2 linked regions of the Mytilus edulis genome follow. The main gene of each other region encodes a partner of the protein of the gene in region 2 in a complex. Links are inferred from orthologs where the notes say so. Each region holds a gene or a part of one and is shown on either strand. Other genes may lie near its edges. The genes, in order: sonic hedgehog protein-like and protein dispatched homolog 1-like.

What was found.
Region 1: the proteins of protein dispatched homolog 1-like (region 2) and sonic hedgehog protein-like are in contact, whole or in part, in a cryo-EM structure (PDB 6TD6), measured with the Drosophila melanogaster proteins. The link is inferred for Mytilus edulis from reciprocal best matches to the Drosophila melanogaster genes disp and hh. Residues at the interface, in NP_524734.2 of Drosophila melanogaster: His77, His78, Arg250, Tyr253, Glu296, Ala404, Gln405, Ser406, Asn407, Arg408, Gly434, Asn755; in NP_001034065.1 of Drosophila melanogaster: Tyr100, Pro101, Val103, Leu104, Lys105, Gln106, Thr107, Asn110, Leu111, Ser117, Glu164, Lys165, Val168, Ala228, Gly229.

Annotation. Positions count from the first base shown.
Region 1 is NC_092345.1:55,463,778-55,481,448, forward strand, and holds the start of sonic hedgehog protein-like, read right to left. Parts: upstream 7,650-17,671; 5' UTR 7,598-7,649; intron 1-7,597.
Region 2 is NC_092346.1:63,237,134-63,253,117, forward strand, and holds the start of protein dispatched homolog 1-like, read right to left. Parts: upstream 8,337-15,984; 5' UTR 8,242-8,336; intron 1,103-8,241; 5' UTR 1,059-1,102; intron 1-1,058. UniProt on the Drosophila melanogaster protein: Segment polarity protein which functions in hedgehog (Hh) signaling.

The sequences.
Region 1 (17,671 bases), on a different chromosome or scaffold from region 2:
ACAAATATCAGATACCCAAGATCAAACGCCTCATTATACAAACAATCTGATTATATCAGGTCTTTTTCTGTTGTTTTATCACAACCTTGTAGAGACTGATAACCATCATATCTTTATATGTTCTTTATACAGGTGCTTTATTAGATTGCAATATAAGCTTGTTGGTAACAACAAACTTCTACTGAAACCTTATAAAGACAGTATGAAATGTAATACTTTAATTGACGTGTAGATTTCCCAGTTTACGCTATCGGTATATAATTATCAATAACATTTTTAGTACGACTCATTTCTGTTCATTCAGTATTTTCCCACAAATATTGTCTAAGAGGTCTTTTGTTTTATAAATTTACGCATACTATATATATTTAGTATAATGATTAATCATAAAACAAAACAATTGCATAAGCTTTAAACATAGCGTTATACAAAAACAATGTTCTGAGGATTGACTGAATCAACCAAACTTGACAATCGAAAGTAGTACTACGTAATCAGTAAAAATCGTAACTCATTTTAAATAAGATTCAGAACTGAAGAAAATATACATCAGATTCAGAAGCTGATATTTGCTATGAATATAAATCTATAAACATCAGACTTTTCTGGAGTTATTTGTCCGATAAACGAAAACTTACTACAACTATAGTAGAAGTAAATTTTAGAAGGCTACTCATCTAAAATCTAGATCCTGATTTAAAAAAAAAGATTCCAACTTCGTCAGGCAAAGTTGATTGTAAGTGGTTCTTCTTGCATTTTCATTTTGATGAACTAGCTCTTCGTATGTTTAGAAAGTTTTACATCTTCGGATTGCAATTTTTTAAAGATACAATCATTCGAACGCAAACAATTCATAAGCTGTTACTTTCATTTTTATGGAATAGAGTTAAATGTATTCCCTTAAACTATCCACATGTGGAGCAGGATCTGCTTACCCTTCCGGAGCACCTGAGATCACCCCTAGTTTTTTTGGTGGGGTTCGTGTTGTTTATTCTTTAGTTTTCTATGTTGTGTCATGTGTGCTGTTGTTTGTTTGCCTTTTTCATTTTTAGCAATGGCGTTGTCAGTTTGTTTTAGATTTATGAGTTTGACTGTCCCTTTGGTATCTTTCGTCCCTCTTTTTAAAAAGTTAGGATGTATTAACAGGTATTAACATATTGGATGCTGAACTGTACGAATATAACTCATAAGTTTAGAAGATGCATTTTCATACTTTTAAAAGCAACTATTTTTACGACAGTCAAAACGTTGAGGACAATTCCTTGGGTCAACCGTTTATTACACTACACTGTCATTCTGTCACAATATTGTCAAAGATAATTTGTTTAATTTAATTAACTTTAAATACTATTTTGTATTTGTTCAACTGAAATTAAGTGGAGTGTGACATAGTCAGCTGATTTACAACAGTATCACATGACAGTCATGTTATAAAATAACCAGTGTCAAATAGATATTGTCTATCTAATAAATCTTTTAATGAAGTCGACTATGGTAGTATTTATGGTACAAAACGAATCTTTTTGTTCCTTTAAATACTTAATTTTAGTCAATTGACAAGGGTGTCAGTTAGGTACTACTTAATGTGTAGTTGTCAATAGTCAAACGATATTTAACAGACTAAATTGAACTTCAGCTGGTCTTAGATGGAAAAAAATATATAGCGAGTTTAAGGCATAAAGTTAAGGAAATAATTAAATCTATTCTTGTTTATGACAGGAATAATTATTTTTTACTTTTTATTTCGGATGAAAAGAAGTGATAACACCAATTTTGACCACTTGGATTAATAAAAACAGAATAAAAAATTTAATAATGTACTTTATATGTTCTAAAGACACAGTCTGTCAAATATAAGAAACAATGTACTTGAATTTCGTCGCAAACGTTCTTGTATTCATAAAAACACTAGCTCTTCATATCTTCCATTTCATTTTGCAGATATTGACAACAGTCTTACAACAAAATACCTTTGCTGCAGTCCATACATATATTTGCTGTCAATCAAAAAACCTATTTGAATAAATGGATGCACCAGTAGTAAACCAGTGTTCAAAAGTCATAAATCGATTGAGAGAAAAACAAATCCGGGTTACAAACTAACACCGAGAGAAACATCTCAACTATAAGAGGAAAACAAAGGAACATCAGGAACAATGACGGGCAAAACAAAAGGTGGGTTGAACCTTGTTTAATGTCTAGCCCAACTTCGCTTTATGACAATGTTAACAAATACCACTAAAATTACAACACTATGTAGAATCATATTCAAAACAGTGTGGCTGTGGCCATTGATTGACGACCTAAATTATCCCATTGACTGGGACAGATTAGGTGAACGTTTTTCTGTAACGACCACTGCTCACTATGTACTTGTTAAAGACACTTAAACTGTGGGGTCACCAAAGGTTCTCAACACCTAAATGAAGTAATTCGAAAAATTAATCAGGAATAACACGATGTTATGATTTATATCAATAATATAAATCAAAACATAAAGATTATTCCTGATAAATTTTTCGAATTATTTTATTATTGAAGGCGTTAAGAACCTTTGGTTACCCCACAGTTTAAATTCTACAATAAGTAAAAAAACTAGAATCATATTCAAAACAGTGGCTGTGGCCATTGATTGACGACCTAAATTATCCCATTGACTGGGACAAATTAGGTGAAGGTTTGTCTGTAACGATCACTGCTCACTATGTACTTGTGAAAGATACTAAAACTGTGGGCCACCAAAGGTTCTCAAAACCTAAATAAAGTAATTCGAAAAATTAATCAGGAATAACACGATGTTTTGACTTTTATCAATAATATAAATCAAAACATGAAGTTATTCCTGATTAATTTTTCGATTTTTTAATCATTAAAGGCGTTTAGAACCTTTGGTGACCCCACAGATTAAATTCTATAATAAGTATGTAGTGAGCAGTGATCGTTACAGACAAGCGTTCACCTAATCTGTCCCAGTCAATGGGATATTTTAAGGTCGTCAATCAATGGCCAAAGCCACACTGTTTTGAATATGATTCTAAGGCTTTTCTTATCACGGGAATAGATTACATTAGCCGTATTTGGCACAACTTTTTGGAATTTTGAGTCCTCAATGCTCTTCAACTTTGTACATGTTTGGCTTTATAACTATTTTGATCTGAACGTCACTGATGAGTCTTATGTAGACGAAACGCGCGTCTGGCGTTTTTAAAAATTATAATCCTGGTACCTTTGATAACTATTTAAGGATATACTAAGGTGAAATTTTAAAAATCAAGAAATTAAAATATATACTAGCAGTCGAAAGAGCACCAGTATAGGAACAAAATAAGATAAAATATTGATAGTTCATGGAGCTCCTTTTCGAGATATTTGAGTTTTAAAAAATGGCGGCAAAAGGCTGACTCGGTATTCAATTGGTATTATTTTGGTCTCAAATCGATCGAACAGAAATCAAGAATCTGCTTAAATTTTGGGAAAATGACCTTTTATGAGCTATTTAAGTCTTTTATAAAAAGAAAAATGGGTGTTATGGGGCAAAATATTTTACTTTATATAGTAGAAAAAAGCAAGGAGTCCAAACATATGACACCAATTTCCAAAACCTCACCTAAGTACATCCTTAAGGCCTTTCCAAATTTATAGTATTGAACTAACTTGTTACAAGATATTTCAGAAACATGTGTCTTGCCCGCTGAAATCAGTTTCATATTCTGTTAAAATTGGTACTTTGGCAATGTTTTATACTGTACGCTGTCATTTAAAAAACAATTTCAGAAATATTGAAATAGAGCCTTCCAATTATTAGGAACTATAACATTTTGTATGCTTAAAACATCAAGCACAAGTGATATGGTTGAAATAAGACAACAATCCATCAGAGTTTAAATGAATGTGGCTATAAGCCATTATGGGAGACGGTATGCATAGCTGGCAAACAAAATCCATACCGTATAGTCATAGCTTATTTTAGTTTTTGTTGTTTATACAGAAAATCATTGGTGGAATAGTTTTATCCCTAATTAGTATTACTATATAAAGGGAAGTAACTCTATTGTTATGCTGATCCTTTTTCATGTTTTTTATGTTGTTGAATAGATCGATGGAGTATTTGAATGGTTCTACAAAAATGTGAAGAAGTGATAAATTTGTTATAATTATCCTAATGTTTTAGATGTAGAAAATGTTTTAAAAAATGCAAATAAATGATCTGGCATCTCTTAAACTTTTTTTTCAAATTTAATTGTAAGGTTGAAATTCTTTGTATAATTTAGAAAAAAGAAAAAAGAAAAATGTAAAAAAAACCTTGCGGAAAGTCATCAGTGAGTTGCAAAAAGGGGATACACTTTGATATCGCAATTGTCTGTATCATGTAAAACGACTGTCTTCACATTGTAAAATATTTTTGTTATTTATTCGTTTGTGCTTAACTAGTATACATGTACTCGTGTGTATAATTAAAAACCCTGCGTTGTATTACACTAAAAACAATTTATTAACTTGACTAAAAACTAATGTCTGAGGCTCCAATAATAATGATCATAACTCATATGTTTTTGCGTAAATAGTTTGAATTTCTCTTATTTATTTTTGCATTTCATTTTGAGTGATTTGTTGAAATAACTTTTAACAAGAATAACACAATAACATACATGAATATCCATAAATTTTGTAAGCAAATTGTTGTCATTCATCATTGGTTTTAAAAAAAAATCTGTTTATAAAAAAGTCTTTTTTTATAAGTTAAAAGAAGTTACATACGTCGCATTCTTTGATAATAATAAAATATAAGCAATAATTTACTTAAAAACGAAGTTTAATTCAACCTTAAAAACAGCGCGAACTTTAAATTCAACCTTAAAAACAGCAAAACACAAAGACACTGCAATAACCATACCATATATTAGCGGATATCGTGTAGCAACCTACCTAGAAAGTATGTCATTTTTTTCTATTAAGATTTATCTAAAAAAAAAAAAACTCATTACCAGACGTACGTTTTGTTTACATACCGATACGACGACATTTTATTGGCGCTAGAATTAAAAAAAAGTTGGAAGGCTCAATACAACACGAAGTTGAAGAATATAAAAAACAAAAAATATGTACCAAATACGGATAGATCATCTACGTCTGAGGGTAGAAAAACCTCAGTGTTTCGAATTTGATTCAAAGTTTTATTAGAAGCATTGATACTTATGCGCGAGTGATTTCCTCGGGATGAACCTTATGTCCTCCAGCAGTGGCATCGATTTATGAATTGGATAGAAGAGAAGTATGGTTGAGTTTATGACTTGCATTAATGGATTCATACAGTCCAATCTTCCGAACATAGTATGCAACATATGCATGTACAAAAAAAAGCAAAATATCAGCTTAAGAAATGGGTAGAGCATTATAGGTAAAGAAACATATTAAGTATTAATAAGTTAGTTTCACAATGCAAAACAAAGCACTGTACTAAATAAATTTGTCGGTTCGGGCAGCTGCTGTATATTTACCGGTTCAAAACCCAATTTAATATGCAGAAATTATTGAATTCCTACTTAAATATATATAAGAAGATGTGGTATGAGTGCCAATATGACAAATCTCCATCCCAGTCATAATTTGTAAAATTAAGCAATTATAGGGTAACGTACGGTCTTCAAAATATGCTAAGAAGTGGCTTTTGTGCGACTCTATTACTAGTATTAATGTAACGTCGCGAATCCTTAACTTCTAAATTTAAGTTTGATATACCATACAATACCCTGAAATAATTTATAGTAATTTATCATTAATGACATTAAGTGGACGTCAATGCGGAACAGTTGTGTAACAATATGATTAGGTATGCTACTTAGGTAGTTACTGAATCGCACATGAAAGGGTGAATCATTACATACTTATATTTCATTTTAATCTAAAAATGTAATTCATACCTGGCAATCAAGATGTTGCATTTGCAATACTTTCATTCAAAAAAAGTCGTGGAAATAGTAGAACCTTAACAAAATAATTAATACCGCAAAACAATACAACTGTTATTGATGGAATAAGATTTAACATTATATTTCTCTGTATCATTCTGACTTAAATTTAAACAACTGCCTTTAAAGCTAACGAGATAAATATAAAATTGTAAGATTGGAACCGACAAACTATTACAGAAGAGGGGAGAAAGATACCAGAGGGACAGTCAAACACATAGATCGAAAATAAACTGATAACGCAATGGCTAAAAAAGAAAAAGACAAACAGACAAGTATAAGTACACAAGACACACCATAGAAAACTAAGGACTTAGCGGCACGAACCCCACCAACTAAAGGGGGTGATCTCAGGTGCTCCGGAACACGATTGTTAGGTTTATCATTTACTGTTAAAGAAACCAAATGAACTTAAAATACTGTCCAAATTCAAATACATCATCAGAATATCCATCAATTATATGCTATTGAGTTATCGCGCTTGGTTCAACCAAATAGTTCCACGAAGCTAGAATGAACAATTTTATATCGAATAACACTATGATCTAGAACTATCTTTTTATCAATTTGTTTTTAAATCATAACTTGTTTGCATAAAAAAGGAGGAGTTGCTTGATTGCCAATTAGATAACTACCCACGACAATTCAAATGAAGTGGATGTAAGCATTTATAGTATAGGCAACGTATGGTCTTCATCAACGAGAAACCATATTTCATAGGCTTTTGACGGGTGATTATTGGTATCCATGAAGGTGTGGACGTTTTGTATCTGAGATAATCACAAACCCAGAAGTCACCATGTTTTTGTTGACATGAAACACCATTGAAGTGTTCATTTTTTTGTAAATGTACAATGTACAATTCACTAGTAATGTTGGGGCCCTTTATAGCTTGTTGTTCGGTGTAAGCCAAGGCTCCGTGTTGAAGGCCGTACATTGACCTATAATTTATTACTTTTATAAATTGTTATTTGGATGGAGAGTTGTCTCATTGACACTCACATCACATCTTCCTATATCAATGTATTCATTGTTGAACTATTCCAAACACTAAGGTTGTTTTACCACCAGGTAGATTGTGTAAGCTGTATTTGGCATAACGTTTCGGAATTCCATATATTAAAAGCTCTAAATCTCCGTATTATATATGGCCTACCATTTGTTTTAATGCGAGCGCCACTGAAAAGTCTGTAGTAGAAAACAAGCTCGTATAAATTACAAAATTATTAGCCTGGTTTTTTTATGTATGAATTACAAAATTATAAACCTGGTATCTTTGATGTATGAATTACAAAATTATAAACTTGGTATTTGATGTATAAATTACAAAATTATAAACCTGGTATCTTTGATGTATGAATTACAAAATTATAAACTTGGTATCTTTGATGTATGAATTACAAAATTATAAACCTGGTATCTTTGATTATTCTTTTCTGTGTTTCCAATTTATTTTTCTTGAAAATATTATGCCAATCATCATAGAAATAATTTCCATCAATTTAAAAAAAAAATATGCTACTGAGAAAAGAGAAATACATTGGATATTCTTTTTGTTTCCACAATTTGAACGATTTATTTTTGTAAACAATGTTTAAAAAAAATATCCTAATAAAAAATCAACTTACTTTAATGAAAATATTACAATCCAGTCCGTACAAAATCAAGTAATATAAAGGTAAATGTTTCAATTGACAGGTATAGCCTTACGTAAAGTGCGAACGGAAAGATACAGATAGATTACACTGATCACGCTACTGTTTACACTCTACAGAAACTTAAGATGACCTCAACAGAACACCAAGGATGTCAAAATTATTGTATTTGATCTTTAAGGGGGGGGGGGGGTGGATTAAAGTCAGAAATATGGCAGTTGTTATACATTCGTTTGATGTGGTTGAGCTTTTGATTTTGCCATTTGATGAGGGACTTTCCTATGTGCAATTTCCTCGGAATTTTTTTTTTTTTTTTAATACTTTTTAAATCCTTAACCGAATATAAATATATGACTTATCTCTTTTATTCCCTGTATTTATTTTCTTTAAAAAGTATAATCCTGCAAGAAAGAGCAACAAAGTTTTCAAAAATCGACATTAAAGAAAATAGTTGTATGCATATGAATTGTAGAGTCAGTCATACTAAATTTATAAAATATCATTCCAGTTTCTCTAGGTCTGATAAAAAAGGAGATATTTCTGCTGATAATGGATAAGAAAAGTATAACAGTTGTTTTCCAGTCTTTGTATGTGTTTGATTTTGCCACTTTAAAAAGGACATTCCGATTGGAATTTTGTTTGGAGGTCGGTATATTTGTTATTTTACTTTTTACAAAAGGGTATTTTGCAATGGAATGTATGATTGATACCTTCTACTTCAATCATACAGTTTTGTTGAATTCTGGATAACAAAAAGACAAAGATACAATTTAAACTTCAGCGAAAACCTGTACAACTTGCGGAGTGAAAGAAGGACATACAAAAGGGAGAAGACAATAAAATACATATAAAAAAGCTGAGTCTATGAAAGATGAAAAAAGTAGTTGCCAAAAGAAAGCACCACATAAAAACAAAAGATTGAACAGGACAAACCCAATATAAGACGGGTATATCTAAGGTATGTCAATAGAGAACAGCAGTTCCAGCTTTTCTGGCTGACAGTGCTACATTGTTTCAGGAAAGGAACCATGTCACAGATTCTGGTCAAATTTTGCATTCAACTTTGGCCAGTTGAACTACAATTAAATTCGAAAACAATAATGCATTTATCTCTTTTATTTATACAAATATTCCTGAATGATTTGTATAGAAAGGCCTTAAATATACTCATCATAGATTCCCGGATTGAAATTTAGTATTTGCGCTAGACGTGCGTTTCGTCTACAAAAGACTCATCAGTGACACCCCAATAACAAAAAGTTAAAAAGGCCAAAAAAAGTACGAAGTTGAGCATTGAGGACCAAATTAAAAAAAAATATTGACAAATACAAAGTATGTGTAAACTTATGCAAACACATATCTAAATCTGTGACTGGCCAATTTATTGTACCTTGACCATAAAATCTATCAATGTCACTAAGATCAATCTACTTAAGGTTAAGTAATTTGACTACTAGTATATGACTTTATTTAACTGATCATTTGTTTTTCTTACTAGTTAAAGGTAGACAACTCTGAAGTCAAATTGTACAATTCAAAAATAAAAATAACTCTTCAAAAATTCTTGTGTTTCTGACTTTATCCTCATCAGGGAAAGCTCATATCCCTGACTTTGAAAACCAAAGATGTATTTAAAGCTGATTATTGAAAGAGCTTTGTAACCAAAATGAGACAATTAAGAGAATTCAAATCCTTAAAAGGTAAAATTTGTCCGAGGGAGCAAGAATCTTCGTTTTTTTTAATGTCTTCTTAAGTTATCAACGGACAATTTAAGAAAAGTGTGGTAAATGTGACTAAAGTCAGAACATGCTTCATATATATCATTGAAAATAAATAATTCACAATCAGATAGAGTATTGATTATGACTAAGACTTCAAGTGTAGAATAGAAGATATGTCTAGGTGACCGTAGGTGACAAATTCTTTGTTTTCAGATGATCTCATACAATGTATAAAGTCAGCATTTAAATACCATAATATGATAAAATTCCAATTGTACCACATGTTAAGTTACAATGTCAACTACTAATGTCAATCACTACGTTGCAACTCCATCTTTGATAGACAATGATTTGATAAGTCACAGCATGTAATTCCATTATTACCCTCAATTACTGTCACGTGGGTGACAAAAACAATTTTGAGCCTAACAGGTTAAAAGCGGGTCATTTTCGTCTTAACCTTGTTTCGGTATTAAGACGTCTAACGTATATGTACTTGGTATCGATAATCATGAAATTGTTTCATGGTCAAATAAGAAGTTACGAAGCAAATTGTTAAATATCTTGTTGAAAGCTGTAGCTCGACGACTAATTACACTAATTTTATTATAAAACTACTATATATAAGTATATCATAAACTGAAAGCAAACAAATTCCAAATATCTGCAAAATTGCAACAGTATCTATAGCTATATAGATTATAATGTAAAAAAAACATTTATCCTATCATTGGAAAAAAGCATGAAACGTAATAAAAACTTTAGGTAATTATTAAAATAAGGCACAGATACACATTTCAAGTGATTGAAATCTTTGATATCTTCAAATGATTTGTGGTTAACATGGTTGAACATGATCTGTCTCTAGCATTCAATTATATCTGATTATCAATACCTTTTAGGATTTTTGCATACTACTGAAAAATGAACACTCCTATTTATCAAAAACTTTTGGATTTAATTCAAATTATTTTTTTAAAGTTTAAAATCTATTCACACGATTGAAACTTAGCACGCAACGGTTCCCATACAATCGTATATGTTTGTTCTATGAACACTTTTTCGGTAATGTTTACTTCGTGACGGTATTTTTTTCCATGTTATACCTCTAATTCTCCCGTTGCTTAATTACATCTTCGACCCTGTGCTTCTAGTATTGACCAGCAGTGGTTCACTTTAATATGGCTTGCATAAATTTTATGTATAAAAAAGAAGATGTGGTATGATTGCCAATGAGACAACTGTCCACAAGAGACCAAATTGACACAGAAATTAACAACTATAGGTCACCGTACGGCTTTCAACAATGAACAAAGCTCATATCGCATAGTCAGCTATAAAAAGCCCCAAAATAGCAATGTAAAACAATTCAAACGAGAAAACTAACGGCCTTTTTTATGTCACGTTATACAAGTGACAGGTTTAGCTAGCGATAAAACCGGGGTATAATCCACCATTCTCTACATTCGAAAATCCTGTACCAAGTCAGGAATACGACAGTTGTTATCTCTTGGTTTGATGTGTTTGTGCTTTGCCATTTGCTTATGGTCTTTCCTATAAGAATTTTCCTCGTAGTTCGGTATTTTTATTATTTTACTTTTTGCTCCCTCCTATTCGCTTTTTGAATCAGTGTTAGCAAATTTGACAAATGATATGTACCCCACTTTAAAACATTCCAAGATAAGTATTTATTGACGTCGTGCTAGTAAAAAAATCCGAATCAAAAATAGATTAATTTTATATAATTGTTAAACGAATCTCTTGTGTGATATTTCAGTCAATAAAGGTGGTGCACCAAACTGATTAAATTAATTAAAAGGCTATTAATAATCGTGTTAACTTAGTGAATGTGCAATTGTAAATAAATCTCTACCGTGTACACTGCCTTTAATGCATTGCTAATGCAGTCGGAGTTGTCAAGAAATAATATACCGTAAAATTGATGTTAAACGAGGCATTAGCTGGTAAATATCATTTTCATGATTTAATTTACTGTATATGATTCAATAGATTTTCCCCATCAATTTTCATTGTGCCATGTTGTGTGGTCTTTATTTTGTTGTTGTCGATTTCTGTCTGAAAACACATGTTCAGGTGCGATATTATAGTCTAAATGTTGAAAACAATATGATTTTTATGTCATCATTATCAATTTTTCAAACTATAGAATAACATATTCTTGTCGTTAAAAATTAGTTACGTTCGACATACCATATACAGTGAAAATCGCTTTAGCCGAACCTAACATGGATTGAAGATGTTTAAGATATGATTTTTAAGCAAGTTTATGTTTTCATAAAAAAATGAATAGGGGGCTTCGGTGGCCTAGTGGCATTCGACTATAATCTAAATTGATTAGGAGTTTCGGGCACTCTGGTTTCTTCCACCAAAGAAAAACTGACCGCCAAGAAGTAGCACAAAAGTGTTTAAATTGTCGTTAAACATCAATCAGTCAAATCAAGAAGTTATAAAGACATCTATTTAATGAGATATGTAGAAACAATCTTTTGAAATAAATTGAACAGTACTTGATTGTATAATCTAAGTATTTCATACTTATAAAGCAAGAAATAAAATTGAGAATGGAAATGGGGAATGTGTCAAAGCGACAACAACCCGACCATAGAGCAGCTAGACAACAGCTGAAGGCCACCAATCTTTACTTTTGGTTTGCTATTGTTTACTCTTTATAAACGGACTGTTTAAGTTTAAGCATGATTCCGATCTGTACGGATAAAAAAATATTTTCAAGACCTGCAGAACTAGTTAATATCAAACTCCTCTTTTATTCCTACAGGTAGGTATTTCTGTATTGCTAGCATAGAATGTTTTAAAAAAATCTTATCGATGCAAATATGTGCAACTGATTTTGTTGAGAACCATTTGATCTGTTTTGACTATAATTGTACATCTGTATTTTAGCCTTTCCTTTATGTTGATCTCGAACATACCTAATGAAGATCACTGCAAACGTTTCATCATCACATTTGGATCATAAAATATGTGGAAAAAGGAGGTTAACAAAATGTTCTGTAACTTTTTTTAGAAAAGGTATGATATGACCTTGTTTTACGTCTTCAGTGAAAAAAAACTTTTACTAATCGTACCTCTAAGGGAATATACACAAGTTAGTAATGCATTGGTGTAATAAATTTCAGTCACACTTGACTTGTATAATTATTTCAGCCTCTGGTACTGTCTACAATTGCTTCAGATGCATACAGTAGCCGTAAGAAATATTTGACAGGACATTACTAAGGTTAATTTAGGGCCGCGCCAAAATCGATTAATTATCATGGAAAAAGGTTCATTGAGAGCAACTGGAAGGTGAAAACTACATGTTAAGTATTTTCAGTTTACTTAAACTTACTGCCAGCATTTTTGGTGTGGTATTGTTTGAAGATATTGTTATTGGCGTCTGTAATATTTCTATCATATGAAAGTTTGGTTTGAATTAAATGTTTTTATATGACGTCTTGTGCGTTATTCTGTTGGCCTAAAGATTGATTAAAGAAGGTGGAGAGTTGGGTATTCACAAAGCTAGTTCAGCTAAACTACATGTGTATGTACTTCTCCCAAGTCGGGAACACCGGCAGTTGTATAATTCTGAAATAACATTGGTAATTTAACTTTCTAATATAAACAATTTAAAAAAAAAAAGAATAATTGTCGCGCCTTTTGATATAGTTCTTCTATACCTAGATATAGGAAGATGTGGTGTGAGTGCCAATGAGACAACTCTCCATTCAAATAACAATTTATAAAAGTAAACCAGTATAGGTCAATGTATGGCCTTCAACACGGAGCATAGGCTCACATCGAACAACAAGCTATAAAGGGCCCAAAAATTACTAGTGTAAAACCATTCAAACGAGAAAACCAACGGTCTAGTCTATATAAAAAAATGTATTATGTAGCGAAATGATAAATTCATATCAAGGTTTACGTCACGGTTTATTTTGGTTCTTTTCGCAGTCGTCTTTCCAACAAACTCGATTTCTATGAGAGAAAAAAATATGACGACTAAGAGTTATAAACGGTGACTGTTTAAACGTTCATAGCAATTTGCTTGATAAATTCTATATACTTTCAATATTTTAAAATATATAAGTTTATATGTACTCGCTATGAAGGTGACTACAATTTTATCTTTCTAAAATGACTAGGTATTGTACATGTATATATGTCTTTTATCGATATTATAACTACAATTTTATCTTTCTAAAATGACTATGCATTGTACATGTATAACTGACTAAGTGCGTAAAGAATTTGGCGTCGATGGTAGATTTGTGGTAGTCTATGTTAAATGTAAGTACATCTCGTCCAGTCTCGGGGCGTATTTAAGCTTCACAAGTGAAACATGTATTTGTCTATCGTAGTTTGACCCCTTGTTTTTTGCCCAATTGTTGCGTTGCTTTCTTATTGATACAAACCAGCTGTTTTCATTCATACATAAAAAAAATGAACAATTCGATATCAGTCAACATTTATGTATATTATGAGATTGTCAAGAGTTGTTTTGTCTTGCTACATTTAAACTTACTTTAATCGAAAGGTATTATTAAATATACGTTTCTAGGGTCAAAGCTTGTGAAGTTAGGCTCCAAGTTGCAAAATTAATCTATAAGATAGCATTCCCATTAAGAAAACACATTTGACACTATCGCCAAACTAGCACAAATAATAGTAAGAACATTTTGGATGCAGGAAAGCACAATATTGACATTTTTGTAGCAGATACATGTACCTCTTTTCAAAATACCATTTGAAATTATGCTATCGTTTATAACTAAATATTAAGAACAGATCTCAAAAGAAAAGAATTATGGCCTTGATTGATTACTTGTTGTTGTTGGACGTCACATTCGTCACTCTTGTCTATTTTATGAAGGCCAGTTTTGTTGGTGGAGGAAACTAGAGTACCTTGAGAAAACAAACAACCTTCGACAAGAAAACTTGAAATCCTCTTTAATTAAGATGGGAATCGAACGCAACTGTTACAAGCAGGGTTCCAACCCACATCTCAATTGTTGACAGTTGATTGAAGTCGATAGATTAACTACTTTCAATATTCGGAAATAGATACATTAAACAGCTATTGCAATTCTTCTTTTAAAGCGTAAATTGAATAAGTTACCAAAAAAATCAAATATATTTTAAAATAAGTTACAAAATAAAATCAAATATATTTTACCAATATCTGACAGACTAATGTTTTTGTGAGCTCTTATGCTTGATTTTCAAATCCCCCCCCCCGAAAAAAAAACACTATCATACGTTCTCTTTATAAGGCTTTCATTGTTGTTGTACTATAAGGCTTTCATTGTTGTTGTGCGTGTCCAATTAATGTACTCGTTATAAGTTTATTTACTGAATAAAGAAATACAATGTAAGCTGTATTTGCCTTTATTTCATTTAACCCTTCCGAGCTTCAAATTGTTCTTAGAATTTGTAATTATTTCATCTTTTTTGTAAGAGATATCAATGACAAGAAAAAAATAGACAAAACGCTCGCGCGCCAATTCGAATGATTTACCACCAATAATTAACTTCAAATTATGACTTCTTTCAAAGATCACACTGTTTTTGGAGTTCCCCATTTATACTTCAACACACATACATATCCACAACTAAAATTACATTTATTCATAATAAGGGATATTAAAATTGGTGATCCATATTTTGACACCTAATGCTAATTGGCATTTGATAAATCTTTGTTTTTGTTTTACTGTAGTATTTTTTTTACGTTAATGATATCGATATATGTAAATAAAATGAAAAAAAGCTATCATTTATTTTGAATTGATCACAAATGAAAGGAATGTCCTTTAGAGGATTTAGATTATTATAGCTGATGTGTAAGTATAAAATGCAGAAAACCTCTGGCATCAATGTTATGATATGAGATGGGTAACCCGAATAATTCATTTCCATCCCATGATCGACTCTCCAACTCGGAGAAGAGTAGCGGAATGTAACGACTGGATTATTCGAGTTATGATATAAGTGGTAAGTGGCTGATAAAGATAAGTATGTTGTAGGGACTGGGTACATATATTTACAATAATGCAACTCAAAATAGATGACTTTTTACACGTTTGCAAAATTTATTATAAGCCGGTCTTCCACAAGTGAAAATGAATATACCATATCCACCCGTTTATCCCTTCAAAGAAAATCGAATAGTCGACCTCTAAAGGACCTCTTTTTGCATGGGAAGGAGACGGACACTAAATATGAGAATCCGAAATTTTTATAAAGTGGAATAAATTGTCTGATTATTTTTGATATCATAGTATTAATTAAACTTATTGTAATGGATCGAAGTCCTTTTTATTTAAGCTCTGACATTTTACCAAAAGACACGTCTTGAAACTCCGATAACCAATAGAATAATAATGTCAAGATTTGAAATCAACATTTTTCTACTCCAAAAAAGAAGCAATTTTAAACTGTGGCGTATCAAACAAATAACCAAACTAAATATTGAGTAAGCTTTACCTCTAAAACGGGGTTATAAGGTTGATTGATTGTTGGTTGCTTTTTAAACGTCCAGTTGCAAATATTTCATGCATGTACAGGAATGAGTTCTATTATAATTTAAAATTTAGGCGTTTTTAGTCTAACATAATCAATGATCAAAGTATCCAGTACTTTAGTTTTTTGTAGTCTTGTAGTTGCATGTGAGCTTGTCTGTATTCTGATTTAAACCTTAGATTTCAGTTAAAAGTAAAGATGCACAAGTAAAGAGACTTGGTTTAATTGCCATTTAGACAAATATTCACTAGAGACAAAAGAACGAGGATAAAAACAATAGGTTACAATAGGTCCTACAACAATGAGAAATACCTATACCGTATAGTAAGTTTTAAAGGGCCCCATCATAACAAAATATATAGCAATTTAAGATAGAAAACATGCAATAACAATAAACGAAAAACAAACATATTAAAGATGATTAGACGAAAAAAGGCAGTAACTGAATTAATACCTGTATAAAAGTCGAAAAAAGAAAGGTTTGATTAAAATATGAATTTTTAAGAAAAAAGTACTTTAAATGACAAAGTAAGGTGTTGTCCATCATCATATTACTTCAAACGTATTCAATTACTATGACATACCCTACTAATATAGTCTTGAATCGGACTTCAAATTTAAACTGGAATTTATAAAAGTTAAAAAATACCACTTACCCTTTACTGAACAGAATGATCGTCTTCATGTAAAGTTATCCTCATTATCTATTTGTAATTGACATTGATTGCCTAAAACGGCACATTAATTACAAGTATCAGGTAAAAAAAGATGTAATTCATCTATTAATAAGATAATTCACAAGCTTTGAACCCAATATACACGGCGTGGAAATTTTATCCAACTTACAGCAAACTTTTATCTACTATGCAGAGTTTCTTGCGTCTAATGGAATAAGTTTCTTTATTTCTTTACATGTCGTCAAATCCTAACGAAATTGGTTGTTTATATATGAGTTATTTGTATCATAGAAGATCAAGATACGAATATCAGTCTTGTTAAGGCATTTATAGTAGTCAATCTGTTTTAAAAGTACGGAGGAACAGACATCTCAACAGAAAACTGGTATCAATATGGAAATTAACGTCTTTGAAAAGTATTGCGGCAATTATGAAAACATTGATCAATAAACATGCAATCTTTCATTTAACGTGTTATTTTTCTGATCTTTACAGTTTTCTGTCATTTCAAAGTGTCTGATTAATCAATTTGCATGTAATAGACCCAACAAGTCGTCTAGTAAACAGATATTTATGTACTTCAACTTCATTCTGGAAATTGAATACAGTTTTGTTATTGATATACCATGTGAAGGACAGGGTTCCAAACTTTCTATGATAGTTTAGGAATTTCGTTAAGATTAAATGCATTTGACTCTTTGATCAATTGATCAATCAAATTAAAAACTTCTTGCTTTCCCAATTAAATAAAAACCCTAATTACATAAAAACCCATCTTTGAATAAAGTTCCAAAATCATTAGTTGAGTGATAACTGCTGCTAGACGCCCAACAACAACTATAACTTGGGTCTTTTTCAGTTAATGTGGTATTAAAAATAATTGCATTGTTTTAAGCCAACACGTTGAGGCCAATATTAAGTGTGTTACCTTAGAAGGTTTACAGGAAAACATGTTCCCATACTGCGACTTACTAATCTGCCATCTAGCCGTCTTTGTTTTACATCTGCTGTCTCTGTTATACTCTAAATATTCCATTCATGACGAAGAGGCAGAAAATACAAATGTTAGGTTTGACCCATCCAAGTATTTAATCTACATTTGAGTG
Region 2 (15,984 bases):
ATTCAGGGGCAGCAACCCAACAACGGGTTGTCTGATTCATCTGAAAATTTCAGGGCAGATAGATCTTGACCTGATAAACAATACTACCCCATGTCAGATTTGCTCTAAATGCTTTGGTTTTTGAGTTATAAGCCAAAAACTGCATTTGACCCCTATGTTCTATTTTTAGCAATGGCGACCATGTTTGTTGATAGATCAAAACTTCGGATACAATTTATAAATTAGATACCCTAAGAAACATTCAGTTAAAGTTTGAAAGTATTTGGCCCAGTAGTTTCAGAGGAGAAGATTCTTGAAATAGTTTACGACGACGACAGACGACGACAGACGACGGACGACGACGGACGCCAAGTGATGGCATAAGCTCACTTGTCCCTTCGGGACAGGTGAGCTAAAAAAGAAGTCACATCAATGGTTGAATTTCCATTGTTTGGGACGTTTCAAACCCCTCATAATGTTTTGGTGTGCGCTTTAGAATATATTTCCCAAAATGCATGAGTAGATATAGGAAGATGTGGTATGAGTGACAATGAGACAAGTTTCTTCAACCAAATAACAATTTATGAAAGGAAACCATTATAGGTCATGGTAAGGTCTTCAACACGGAGCCTTGGCTCACACCGAACAGCAAGCTATAAAAGGCCCCAAAAATTACTAATGTAAATCCATTCAAACGGTCTAATCTATATAAAAACAAGAAACGAGAAACATGTATGAACTACATAAACAGAGGTTTTGAAACAGCCCATTGAACTTGGGTTTAAAATCTTGATCAAATTTGGTTTCTAAGAGCAACTGATGAGAAGAAAACATTGAAATACAAATAGGATTCCTTTTTGATGATGTTGTCTAGTAAATGTAAACTAGCTGTTAATAGTTTAATTTCATCTTGAAAAGTCAGGTAAAGAATGAAAGAACTAGAAATCAAATTTAGATTAAGTCTGATTGATATTTCATTAAATATAATATGCTTGGAAGAAAATTAAATACAGGAATTTCAACAACACTGAAAATATCAATGGTTAATTGTAGCCATTTCTCTATTAATACATACATACCTACATTTTAATCAAAAACTTTGGAAACTTGGACTTCATGGCCACTGAAAATGAGGTAAAAATATTGAAATTGGCCATTATTATATTCATATACCAAGATGTTTTAACGAAAAACAATGTGGATGATACAGTGTGGACTCAATTTTCACAATGCTGTAGTAACAGGTCTGTACAAACCAGCAAAAGGAGGTAAAGGGTTAAAAAAGCACATTGTATTACTTCTGTAGAGTTTGTTGAAATAAAACCTACAGGAGAAGCCAAAGCCTTGGGTGGACAGTGTCAGAAATTTTGTTTTGGAAAAATACTTCCAACAATAAAAGTAACATCAGAAGTATTTCTGTAATATTTAGTCTTAGATACTGTTTCCATGTCTTTTATTAAGGACATAAGTATGACAATCCAACAGAGACCATTTTAACTTGTAAAATATGATTCTAAAAGAAGACAAAACAAGGTCTGACAATGTTTAGTTCAATATGCAATTACTAAGGATGTGTAGAAAATTTCTTGACCAATCAGAGGTTTAGCAGGAGCAAGAAGATGAATAATAAAATGTTAATGAGTAATAAGATCCTAGTTCTCAAAAAGTGTCTGTCCTATTACTCCTCACTACAAATGGGAAAATCTACATATATAGTGCATGGTATGAAATTCCAATTAAAATTTTTTGGTTGATTAAACAAAATAAATATCATAATTATTTAAATTTTCTTGCAAATCACCATCTTTTCTAACAAAGGGTAACAATCTACAATTCAAAGATGAAGCCAGAATGTAACCCCTGGTTTGCATCTAGATGTTTAATCACTAGCACTTATATAAGCTGAGACGCACTATTTTCCACAACTACAAGATCAGTGCAGCTATTTATCAAATGTTTAGTGGAAAATAAGCTCGACAGCTACATTTAACTATTCCTACTATAGCTGTTGAGTAAAGAGAGTGTTGGATAACTTTAATCTGATATAAAGACTATCCATACTAGTGCTCAAAATTCCTCAATTTCATGTGTATGCTTTCTTTGAGGAAGTTTTTAATCATGGTACAGTGTAGTACTTGTATGTTTTCATATTATAACCTTGTTTTGCTTTTATACTGCATGTTCTTTGTTTGTTTTGATGCGTACTACTCTGTTTTGCTTTTTTATATTTTTAATATGTATTTGCTTTACACAATCAAATTAAAAAATCATGTTCTCTAATTTTTGTGCTATTTTTACATTTCCTGACAGGTGTGAGAAAAATATTTCTCCTCACTAGTGAAAAATCTGTTCTCGGCAAATGATTGGTTGAAATCTAATTGTGACGTTAAATTTTCTTGCGTTCTTCTGAATTTTCTTATTGTGACGTCATGAAAAAAGGCAACCATGCCTGATGACGTCACATCAAAAGTACACAACTTTTCTCAAATCTTTGAAAAGGAAGGATAAAAACCAAAAGGGAAACAGATTCCACCACTGTAACGTGTGTATTACGATATTTCTCCACTCTCAACAGTTAAATTTTAATTATTTAAAGAGCTCGGCAAGCCTTGCGCTTTAAATATTAAAATTTAACTGTCTCGAGTGGAGAAATATTGTAATACACTTGTTGCAGTTGTGGAATCTATATTTCTCCCACACATAAGCACCCTTTGATCAGTACATATTATTTTTTAGAGTGCAAATTTTAAACAGAGAATAGTCCATTTGCCAATTACCAATTTGATTTTGTTATTACACACTTTTTAAACGAATTACTTCCCTTTGTGAATCGTAAACTGGTTCCATACCGGACAAAATTGACTTTTGCCAATGCAAAGCATAGCAAATTGAAAGTGGTGTATCGGCGGTTCAACTTATTTTTCACGAAAAATAATTTCGCAAAACAAAAGCATTTCGCTTAACAACAATTTCATGTAATTAAAAGATTTGAAAACCTTAAAAATTACTCACATTAGGCAAAGGGAAATTTGCTCTTTCTGCTAGCTCCCCATTGTAAATAAAAATTAATGTCCCTCATAAGGGAGAAAAGGGGATCTCTATATATATAGCTAATAACAGGGTCAATTTACCGGAATTGGCAAATAGCCTATTGTATAAATAAAAATAATCACATTAAACAATCATCACGGAAAAGATGTTATCTTGGTCCTTAAACTAGGTGACGTCATAAGTATGCTTCCGTCATCAAACATAAATTCCAGGTGTTTTTTGGCTTCTTTGCCGCTTTAGAATGTAATACAATTTGATAAAATGAAGATTTTTAGGTGCAACATGTAAGTTCTTTTGCTTATTATTATAGAAATTACATGTTTGTACATTCCACACTTCAAAATGTCTGCTTCCTTAGTTACAGACAAAGAGATTAAGAATGAATTTTACGCTTACTGTCATCCAATCAGAACCATTGATACAAAATATTTGCATAAGAATATATCTATTGACTTTTTTTTTTTGTAGTCTCTCATACCAGGTAGAAAATACAAAATGTACATGCAGATAATTTTTTAAGTTTTTTGGGTTTGTTTTTTTTATTATTCTATTTTAAGGAGGCTCGAGGGTATAAAAATTTCAGAAACAATTAAACATTTGTTTTTCACTACAAATTTTATTTATTACCTTTTGTAGTTGTTACTTTATCATATGGTACAATCAAAGAGCTGAAAGCTCTGAAGAAAAATGACGCCACTGTCTCTAATATTGGGATAGTTTTTATGCAAGTCTTGATTTTCACATACCATAATTAGTTTAACAATGCAACATGTCTCGTAAGCATATAATTGATATTCGTATATGTGTGTGTGTGAAGTGAAGGTGCCAACTGGCTGGTGTTTTTTTTAAGACAAATGAATAGGTCAAGACTACCTGAATTGTACAAATAAATACCGTAGAAAGGCTTCTATATTTCTCACTGGTACATAGGCTAATCCGGGTCCGTTCGCGCCCATTCACGTTTGCGCCAACTCATGTTCGCCCCCTTTCACTTTCACACCCTACATGTTCGCAACTAATCTTAATTGGTTTTGTGTTTAATAACTCTGTAAGCAAGTGTTTTCTAATAAGTATAATTGTTGTCATTGTCTCAAAATAAAGTGAGACAGCATTTTTTTTTGTGTTGAATAAATCTTAATCATGTTTTGGATAGCGTATTGTTAAAGATAATAATAATCCTTTCTAAATAAAGTGGTATTTTGTCAACGTTTTATTTAGCGTTGAATAACTCTTAATCATGTTTTGGTTAGTGTATTGCTATACTTTGTTTCATTGACCTCTTTCATAATGAAGTGAGATTCTGACTATTTATTTTTCTGTGTGTTGAATAAATTTTGTCATGTTTTGGTTATAATAGTGGATTGCTATATTTTGGTTCCTATATATTTTATTGTTTCGTTGTTTCAGATCAAAGGGCTTAAAAACAATTATCTTTTGTGTTTTTCCTTTAAAATCTTCAATGTTTTACTCATACCAAGCTATAAATACATTCAGAATTTACACCAAAGCAATTTAAAACAACAATCATGATTTTCCAATTATTCAACTTGAATTTGAATTAAAATTGGGCGCGAATGAGTAGAGTGCGAACGGACCTTGGGTGTGAACGTGCGAGGTGTGAAAGTGTATTGGGCGCAAACAGACCTGATACCACATAGTCTGAACCCCCTTCTCCCGCAAAATATGAAGTAAATTAAAAACAAATTGTTCAGAGAACAATTGAAGTCTTTCCACTAGAAAAGATCTATTTTTATATTGAAATATGAAAAATCAGTTTAAAATGTTAGTTCCTATGGCTTTATGACGTCCTATTAACCTCTGACCTTGACCTCAATTTCAAGGTCACAAACCATGGACCTTGAATCAAAATATCCTAGGTCTTTAATATGTTTGGTTAATGAGTACTACCACTTGACGCATAATTTTAAATGTAAGATGGACAAAAACTCCCTTTTATTGTATGCGCAGCCTTTCAACCAAAATATACAAGTAAGGACATGTCGCAACTAATAATTTATGAAAAATTATTTGTCAAAATGTCATACAGTACTAGTATTTGAAAAGAAGTGAAAATAAGCCAAAATCAAAATTTATAATATGACCTTGACCTTTGACATTGACCTCATTTTCATTTTTAGTACCAATGACCTCATGAAGACCCTAGGTCTCTATCAGTTATGGTTTACCAGTTGAAAATGCATATCGCTTGAATCAAATGAAAAAGGGGGAATAACTCTCATATGGAGTCCCCATAGAGCTATGGTTCAAACGAATATTCTTATCCTAAATATGTAACGAGCAATTTGGTAAAATAAAATCTTTTACGGTTACGAAGGAGAGGTGGCCACAAGAAAAACAGTGTTTGGGGAGATAACTCTTACAACGTAATGTATTTTGTTATAATTACATTTGATATATGTTTCATTATAATACTTTATTCTGATTGGCTAACTGCACATCACATGTTATTCCTCAAGCAATTGCATCACTCAATAAAACTTTTCATTCATGATAACACGTGGTCCCACAATAAAGTGCACAGATGAATTGAATAAAAAAGTTATAAAATTCGTGTTTTCATGATCCTAGCTAAAAAAAGTAATTATAAGTATTGAATGTTTTTTTTTGTAACCTCATAGGGTTGCAAAAGCGTTGACCGTGTGCACATTTTTAGAATGATGCGCTTACGCTTACGCGCTTCATACAAAAAGTACTTCGGTCAACGCTTTTACACCTCAATGAATTTACAAAAAAAAAGCATTCAATACTTAAATGCAGTTGTAAATTTTTAAAGCAAAAAGAGTTAATACTAACTTTCACTTTTTTGGATGTTCATGTACATTTTGTATGTATTTATTTTTCTCAACTACATGAATTTTTTGGTGTATTTTTAATGATATATATGAGTAGTCCAAATAATTATTACGTCTGGCAAGGCTTTTTAAATTTTATTCTGGGACACCTTCCTATGACCACAAGGCTATGTTAATTTTTTTCTGGGACGCCTTCTTAGGAAGCCTTCCTACGAACGTCTTAGGAAGGCGTCCCAGAAAAAAATAAAATAGCCTTGTCAGACGTCATTATTATTTGGACTAATACATGAGATATTGGATATTTTTATGCATTATTTAACCAGTTGAGTCTTTTACAGGATTGTTTGTTTAATGCTGTTTAAACATTACTGAAAAAAAAACCACCTTAAATTTGCTAATTATTTGGCATGACAGTTTGATTTATTGAAAGGGACTCATAGTTTTCCATTTAATTTTAATAATTGTCTAATGGTTAAAACAATAGCTTCGTTGTTTACTTTTATACACAACAACATATTCACTTTGGTTTCGTTGTTTACCTAATATTCACTATGTACTTGGTAACAGTTATTAATTAATTGAATAGAAAATATTATAATAAATATTATTGGAAGCCGAATTGACGTCAAATAGGTGCCGATTTGACTAGATGCCAATTTAACCAGGTGCCGACTTGACTTGTACGTTTCAATTCCTCTGCGATCGTTTGCGGTATTTTCTTGAGAAAACCTATTTTCCATCATCAAAGAGAAGAAGAAACTGCTTGAAATGATTCCCGAACGCTTCGTGATTGTTAAAATTAGTTTAATTCACTCAAAAAACAATTTTAAAACTTGCGATGTTTAAACAGGAAGTTTCAAAAGCACGTGTAAAAGAAGAAATTAACCGGTGAGAGTGGAAATCCGTACATAACATATATCACTTTAGTACGACTTTTAAAGCAAAACAGTTTCATCCTTTTGTAAAACAGTCTTTAATATACCTATCACATTAATGTTTGAAGGGTCTTAAGCTTATTCAACCCATATAAGTCGGTATGAAACAACAAAACGGAATGATAATAACCGATTACGTTTTGTAGTTTACAAAATTCTGGACTGGTTCCTGTCAAACTACAACACTTTGTTCGACTGTAGTGGAATACAAACAGATACCAGTTGGTTTGTAAACTGGTTCCTGGCTGATTACTACACAATGCTCATGCATAATGATAACACAAGCACATTCCAGTTTGTATTGAAATTAGTAAATACGAAACCAAGCGCGGTAGGCAGAGAAATCAGGTCGGCAGTTATGGAACAATGACTGCGTCATTTTCCAAAAATCATTCAAAACAATCAATTCGTGTTGGCCCCAGATAACATTTAAAATGTGTACATCATTGAAAAAGTTCCAAATTATCTCCCTTTGGTGGAAAAATGCCCTTTTTTGGCTTTAAAATTGAAATATCTTTTTTAACTCATCGGTGACATATATTTTTTAATATAATTTCCATATAAGCTGTACTTAAACTAAATTATTGTAAAATTTGAGCTATTTCTGTAATAAATTTCTTTTTTTATTTCGATATTACCTATATTTCTCCTATTACTTCAACCACCTTTACAAAAATGTATGCTTCTTTCGAAGGCAGATTGTGAGCGCAAATGAACGGTGACCCCACTTTTTTATTTTAATTTTCTATTAACTATAAGATAAAGTTCATTTATAGAAAAATATAGAGAAATCCTATATAAATGATTTAGACCCGCAAACCCCCTTAATAAAAAAAAATCGACAATATTAATATTAATTATTATCATTATTATTATATCAGTGAGGGGGGTTAGGAGGGGTCCTGATCCCGAAATCCCGGGCTTAAAAACACGATATCCTGAAATCCCGGGCTAAAAAATACGAAATCCCGAGGTCTGGAAATTCGAAAAATAGAATTCCCGGATCCCGAAATCCTGAGCTTAAAAACACCTGATCCCGGAGTCCCGATAAAGGTCCTATCCCCCCTCATCAGTGGCGAATCCAGCCATTTAAAAAAAAGGGGGGGTTCCAACTATATGTCCCCATTTAAATGCATTAATCGGCCAAAAAAAAGGGGGGTTCCAACCTGGTATCAGTCGACTGGCAAAAATCTCAAATGCGTTTGTCAGTAACTTCGACATATATTCCCAGTGAAAACAATTTAAATAAACGTTTAATAAAAAATAAATCAAAATTAAACTACAAAGGGGGGGGGGGGGGGGGAGGGTCATTCGGAATACTCCCACTCAGGGGCACCCAAAGGGTATCCTGTCCACAAGTACCTGTGTTTGGGATGACATTTCTCGTGAAATTTCTTGTATGGCCCATGTATAATGTACTGAATGTTTCAGAAATGATATGTACAATTCATATAGATTCATACCCATGTCTTTGTGGGGAGTTTGACCAGACAACTATTGCTAAGACTTACAGACGAACCAATCCTGTAAAATATCTGGTAGCCTAACTTGGATGTATCAGGTACCAGTTGTACTGGTATAGCCAATAACCATATTCTTTTGTCAACACAAAGGTTGACCACTAAGGCCAACTTTGATCATATACATAGACTAGTATCATAGTGTCTAAGTTAACATGTATAACTACGTTATATGGACCCTTATAGGGGGCGGATTTAGGCGGGGGCAAAGTGGGAAGAGGATTGGCTCATGTCCAGCAGCAGCAAAGTGGGAAGAGGATTGGCTCATGTCCTTCCATCCGGACAAGTGTTCAGTCCTCCAAGTAACAATAAAGAAAACACCTCTCCCATATGACTACATCTTACATGGGCACACTTTGCAAAAAGAAACATCTACCAAATATCTTGGCTTAACCATACAAACTGATTTAAAATTTAACAAACACATAAATAACATCACAGCAAATGCAACTAAACAACTAAATTTTATCAAAAGAAACCTTAAAGTCAGCTCGCAGTCAGTTAAAGAAAAGGCCTATATCTCACTTGTGAGACCAAAGCTAGAGTATGGTAGCTGCATCTGGGACCCACATACAAAATCCCAAAAATCACAAATAGAAATGGTCCAAAGACGCGCAGCCAGATATATATGTAATCGATATCATAACACCAGCTCTGTGACAAACATGCTTAACCATCTTAACTGGCCAACACTTGAAATTAGAAGAATAAGAACAAGGCTTATATTTTTCTTCAAAATTATACACCACCAAGTAGCAATATACCCTACGAACTTGTTAATACCATCAGACAGTCGAACAAGACAATACACTCATAGTCACTCATTCAGGCACATACAGGCAAAAAAAGACTCATATAAATTTTCATTCTATCCTAGGACAATCGTCCAATGGAAACTTTTACCAGTTACTGCTGTCCAATGCACCACAGTTGAAACATTCAGAGAACAGATTCCTATATCTGTTCTCAACCAATACTACACCATGTAATGTAACACCTTGTAAATAGTTTTATCTTATATGTACAGTGAAAACCAAAAACAAGTTATTATTTCTTTATTCAATTTTTGTTGTTGATGTAAATATAAAATTGTAAATTTTACCCACGCATGCACGGCACATAGTCATCAATATTATGATGGAGTGCGGAAACTAAAAGAAGAAGAGAAGAGGGGGCGTGGCGGGCGTGCTCCCCCTAAAATTTGCAAAGCATGGATTGTCTTCAACTTATTAGACCCCCTTAATAAAGTATCAGTAGAGATCATTCCATCTTTTTTAACATTCAAAGTATATAAAACAGTCAGTTTAGTATAATCAACGTGATTACTCATCAACTGACCTACGATTTATTTAAGTCTCTATGTCTATATATATATTCAAGTCTCACTTGCAACCTAAACATTTGCCGAATGTATATGAGGGGGGGCAAGGGGTTTAACTGTTATGCTGTTATGGGGCAATTTAATTCTTTGTTATCTGTTATTCTGAAAACTTATTTGCTGTTAGCTGTTATTGTCTTATTCTTTGTTAGCTGTTGTTGGGCTTTTAGTTTTTTTGTTATCTGTTATTGTGATAATTAATATATTCGCTGTTAACTGTTATTGGAAATTGGAATGTTAGCATTTTTTGACAGCAATTAAATTTTCAGAAATTGAAGATTATTATACATTGGGGTCTACCACTACTAATATGTAGGTCCTGTATTCGGAGAAGGATTCCATTAACATATACCCATCACAGAAGTGAGGTCAAGGACAATTCCAGTATATCTTATGATTATCCTTTGTAATAAATTCCATTTTTTTGGAACATGCACATGTATTCCCCTAACGGGAAGGATTGTGCCTGATGTTCATATGATGAAATCATAATCTTTCAGTCAGTTTAATTGAAGTCTGGAGCTGGCATGTCAGTTAACTGCTAGTAGTCTGTTGTTATTTATGTATTATTGTCATTTTGTTTATTTTCTTTGGTTACATCTTCTGACATCAGACTCGGACTTCTCTTGAACTGAATTTTAATGTGCGTATTGTTATATGCGTTTACTTTTCTACATTGGCTAGAGGTATAGGGGGAGGGTTGAGATCTCACAAACATGTTTAACCCCGCCGCATTTTTGCGCCTGTCCCAAGTCAGGAGCCTCTGGCTTTTGTTAGTCTTGTATTATTTTAATTTTAGTTTCTTGTGTACAATTTGGAAATTAGTATGGCGTTCATTATCACTGAACTAGTATATTATATATTTGTTTAGGGGCCAGTTGAAGGACGCCTCCGGGTGCGGGAATTTCTCGCTACATTGAAGACCTGTTGGTGACCTTCTGCTGTTGTTTTTTTCTATGGTCGGGTTGTTGTCTCTTTGGCACATTCCCCATTTCCATTCTCAATTTTATTTAGAATTATCTTATTTTTTTTGTATGAGGATAATGTTCCTTGTTTCCCATGCGAACATATTAAATAAGAACAATTCTTTATATGACAAAAAGGAAAACATATGGTCAGGAATATCGTTCCCGGGCCCTACTAAACTATGTATTCTACTTACTAACATACTAGCCGATTAAAAAAAAAAAAATAATTGTTAAGATATATTATTTATTCAAATGTTCTCTTATATCCTTGAGGCATCGTCCCCTGGTATCAACTGCATTCAAGTTACCTATGATGCTTCCTTGTTTGCTTTTGATACAGGTAGGAAAGAGACATTTACACACATTTTACATGCCTATGGCCCATAAGGTATCGCCCCCTGGTGTCAGCTGCCTTTAGGAAACCATAATGCTTTCCTATTTGCTGCTGACACAGGATGAGTCATGGACATGTTTAATTTCTACTTTCTTTTTGGCTAATTATTATATATTTAATTGATCCAACTTTTTGTGTACTATACATATGTGGATATCTATTTTTCTTTTTTTCTTTTTGGGCTGCTTGTTTGTTATCTATATCAACCACACTTGCAATAAAATGCATTAGTATTTAAAAAAAAAACATACTATAGATTCTTTATCTACGTATTCTTTAAGAACTTAAATAGTTCTCGTTTAACTTTTTTTTTTTTTTTTTATCTCATTGTTTGTATTGTATTATGAAAAAATTATTGATGTTGTAATGTTTATGCCCTTTTGGGCCCATAATTGGAAAATAAAATATCTTATCTTATCTTATCTTAGTACACTTGGTGCAATCAAAAACCTAATAAAAAATTGTTCAAATTAAGCCTTTGAAAATAGTGGAATGAATTACTTTTGGAGTGTCAAAATTTTTCGAGGTACTTGATAAATTGCATGCTTATAATTGGTGCTTTGGATTTTTCTACCCTATATATACCACTTTGCCTCATAGTCTTATTAAGAAAAATTCACACACCTCATTAAATGGGCATTTAAAAAAAGTCAGAATGCGAATATATATATTCAAACTCTTTTAGGTCATTTTTTAGTAGCAACAAACACAAGAACTATGTCAATTGGACCTGCTTTGATACCATAACTGCCCTTGAATTTTTACTAGATATCATTTTTGTCTCTTTGACCCTCATTTCCATTCTCAATTTTATTACACACTATTTAAATTACAAGCATGTGTGAGTTTCTATAACTTTACAAAAATAAATGCTGAAAAAAGTATTCTATAACAAATAAACAGCTACGCCATGAGCGCATGATACGCCGTCTCCCTTTTTGAAATATTTAATAACTTCTTTATGTCATATCAGATATTTATAAAAATCGAAAGGGAGCTTCAGTCAATATATATAAACAACACACCAAAGTTTCATGAGAACTGCTGAAAACATTTTTAAGTTATTGTCCGAAAACTGGAAAATTATATACCATCTTTTTTAATGAATAAAACCCCTTAACTCAATAACATAAAATCTAAAATTAATGAAAATAGAAATGACTCTTACGTAACAACAATAGCTATAAACAATTCAGCAAAGTTTTATGAGAACTGCTGAAAACGTTTTTGTGTTTATATCCGAAAACAGGAAAATACCCGCTTTTTAATTAATAAAACCTCTTCACTCGGAAAGGTGAAATCTAAAATTTATTAAAAATTGAAAGGGGGCTCATGTCAATAGATATAAACAATTCACCAAAATTCCTTACAAATTTGTGAAAGGATTTTTGAGAAAAAAAAACCAACCATTTTTATTGAATAAAACCCCATTAATCAGAAACTTAAAATCTAAAATTTATAAAAAAAAACAAACGAAGGGGAGCTCATGTCAATATATATAAACAATTTCCCAAAATTTTATGCAAATTGGTTAAAGAGTGTTGGAGTTAATGTTCGACATGTTGACGACAGACACACAACAGTATTCCATTATACGTCCCGTAAATGAGGGTATAAAAATATATTGAGTAGTAAACACATTTTAAATACATAATTTTAAAAACATTCATTACAAAGGATTATACCTGCAATAAGAAATACTGGATTTGTCAAGGACCCGACTTTTTTTAATGTTTCATTTACTGTTATCTGTTTTTGTCCATTTTAATTCCTTGTTATCTGTTATAAGCCAAATGAAATTGCTGTTTTGCTGTTATTGGGGCCCCCTTGCCCCCCCCCCCCCCCCCCCTCGTATATGCATGCATGGGATCCCCATAAAATAAACATAACTTCGTAAATGCATCTTATTCTGATTTTAGTGGTTTATGGAACACAGTATATATAATGTCTGGCACGACCTCCGAAAATCAAAAAAAGTAAAAACAGATATTATAAGTAAGTAAGTAAGTAAGTAAGTAAGTAAGTAAGTAAGTAAGTAAGTAAGTAAGTAAGTAAGTAAGTAAGTAAGTAAGTAAGTAAGTAAGTAAGTAAGTAAGTAAGTAAGTAAGTAAGTAAGTAAGTAAGTAAGTAAGTAAGTAAGTAAGTAAGTAAGTAAGTATCTTGCTAAATACCAAAACATAAATATATGAAGCACTAATACGGGAATAATTTTAAAAATTTGCAGTTTCAATTTTTTGTTTCGGTAGTATGAAAGGACAATTCAGTAGAAATTTTCGTTTGCAAAATCTATTACTAGTATTGGTCAGGTGGGCTTTTGTGATCTATCTCGTCTCACTTTGCGTCCATCGGTTCGACCGTCTACACTTCGCATTTCCATCGTCTTAATCAAGTTTGCCAGGTCTGGTGTTATGGAGTGTCAAAGTAATTCTTAAAGGCATATATTGTCATAGGTGATCTAAGGTAAAAATAATTCAAGAATTCAAAATTGATACTTTAACCTGGAAGTGTATTAGTTAAGGATAAAAAAAGCTAAAAATATTGATAAGTCATGGAGCTCCTTTTCGAGATATTTGATTTATAAAATATGGCGGGGAAAAGCTGATTCGGACCTTTACCTTATATTTGCATTGTTGTGCATTTTATAGGGAAGACAATTTATTCTCATCTCGTCTAATACCAGCTTTCCATTAAATATTAGATGGATTGATTTGATAAAATATCCACGCCAATACTAGTAATTACCATTATATAAGGATGTGAAGGATTTAAGAAAAAATCGTTTCAGTTCAGAAAGCCTATCTTCAACTGGAAACATGTACTCTCAACTTTTTAGTAATTGGCAAACTAATATGCAATTCAATTAATGTAGATATAAAATAGAATTATCTTCTTTTGCTGTTTTTATGACTGGAAACAATTTAATATAATCATAATGTATGGACTTCAATATCATATTTTCACAAAGTATATGCAGTGGATCTCGTACGTAAAATAGGTTTTTTTTATGACTGTGGCTACATATATGTATATTGGAAACACACAATTGAATTAATAAGTAATAATAAAATTGAGAATGGAAACGGTGAATGTGTCAAAGAAAAACTGAACAACCCAACCAAAGAGCAAAAACAGATAAATGCCACCAATGGGTCTTGAACCCTACAAGAAAATCCTGCATTTGGAGTCGGGCTTTAGATGACCCCTAATCATGAATATACTAGCTCACCCAAAATGGACACCACAAAAAACTCTAAAATTCATAAATAAATCGACATTAAATAAAAACAAACAGACCTAGAGTCCCAAGTCCTCCGTGTTGCACATGTTTTATAGTGTATAAGGGCAATAACTAGATATCTTTAAAACCATTTCAAAATGTCTTCGAGATGTAAAGGCTTCAGAGCAAATGCAATGCGATTTCCGTTATAATCAATTTTTCCAAGAGGCTCAAGTTGACTCGTTTAAAATATTTGATAAACACTGATTTTCAAAAGTATCAAAGGCATTGCTGATATAAACCTATGATACAAATTTCACAAAATTCTGACACGAAATGTACATATGAGAGCACTATCAACGCAACTGTCCATACATCAATATATCCAAGGGACAATACGATTTCAAAAACCAACTAATCTGCACTGATTTTTTAAGTGTCGGCCTGAGACATTAATGATATAAACCTATTAAAGAAATTTTATTATATTGGTAAAAATTAATCACATAAGAGTGCTAATATTGCAATTTTCCTTATAATCAATATTTTCAAGGGTGTAACTCATTTAAAAATAATTAATCGGCACGGATTTTTTTAAATTGAACTCGTCCAAGGCATTGCTGATAAAAAAAAACCTGATATAAGTTTCATAAAAAAATTTACAAAAATAGTACACGCTAACGATGCAATATTCCGTATCATAAAGGTCTATAAGGGGCATAACTCTTTTGAAAATCAATTTTCAGCACTGAGACATTGCTAAAGTGTACCTATGATATCAGTTTAACAAAGAAATCTGTCAAGAATTTTACAGATGAGATTGCTAAAGATGCAACTTTCCATATAATCAATATTTCCAAGGGGCATAATTCTTATACACATAACTGATTGGCACTTATTTGAAAATTTGTGACGTCTAAGACATTGCTGAAATAAACATTTGATATAAGTTTTCATAAAAACCTGGCAAGAACTGAACACGCGAGAGCGCCAACAAGAACGGACGAACGGAATTATTGACGGATGTCCGATATTTCTATATTTGCAGTGGATAAAACCATACAAGATTAACAAAGGTTTCATGAAATCTCAACCCTGCCCCTATATCGCTAGCCAGTGTGGAATAAACAAATATAAACAAATACACACCAATACATACTGTGACAGTAAAACTCAGTTTAAAAGAAGTCTGAGTACTTTGTAAGGTAGCAGCTTTGAGCTCCAGACCTTTTTTTAGATTTTAGATTTTAAAATGCTATCATTTTCTATAAATTAAGGACGAAATTTACAAAACTGTCAATAAAATTCGGAACTGAGTGGCAAAAAATATAGAAAATCAAACTGAAAGTGCTTCTAAGCACTGAAGGGTACAGAAAAGATTGATTTTATTTATCAGTGGGAAGCAAAATAAAACATTGCATTGTATAATGCGATTCAACTATAAATATGGACAAAGGAAGATAAATCCAATTTTACATTTAACTTAAACAATGACATCATTGATATTTTAAGAACAGATACTTGCACAAATTATGTAAGGGGACGACCATTTGATATTCTGGGGGCCGGGCCAGGAGGATTTGTTTTTGATCGGTTATTTATTTTTGTAAACTAAGAGGACAGATTATTCTTTTTCTGCACTATTGAAGCAAGATTTTTCATTTTCATTAAAGCAAGGGACTGATTATTCATTTTCACAACAATATTTATGATATTCGAAAACATACAA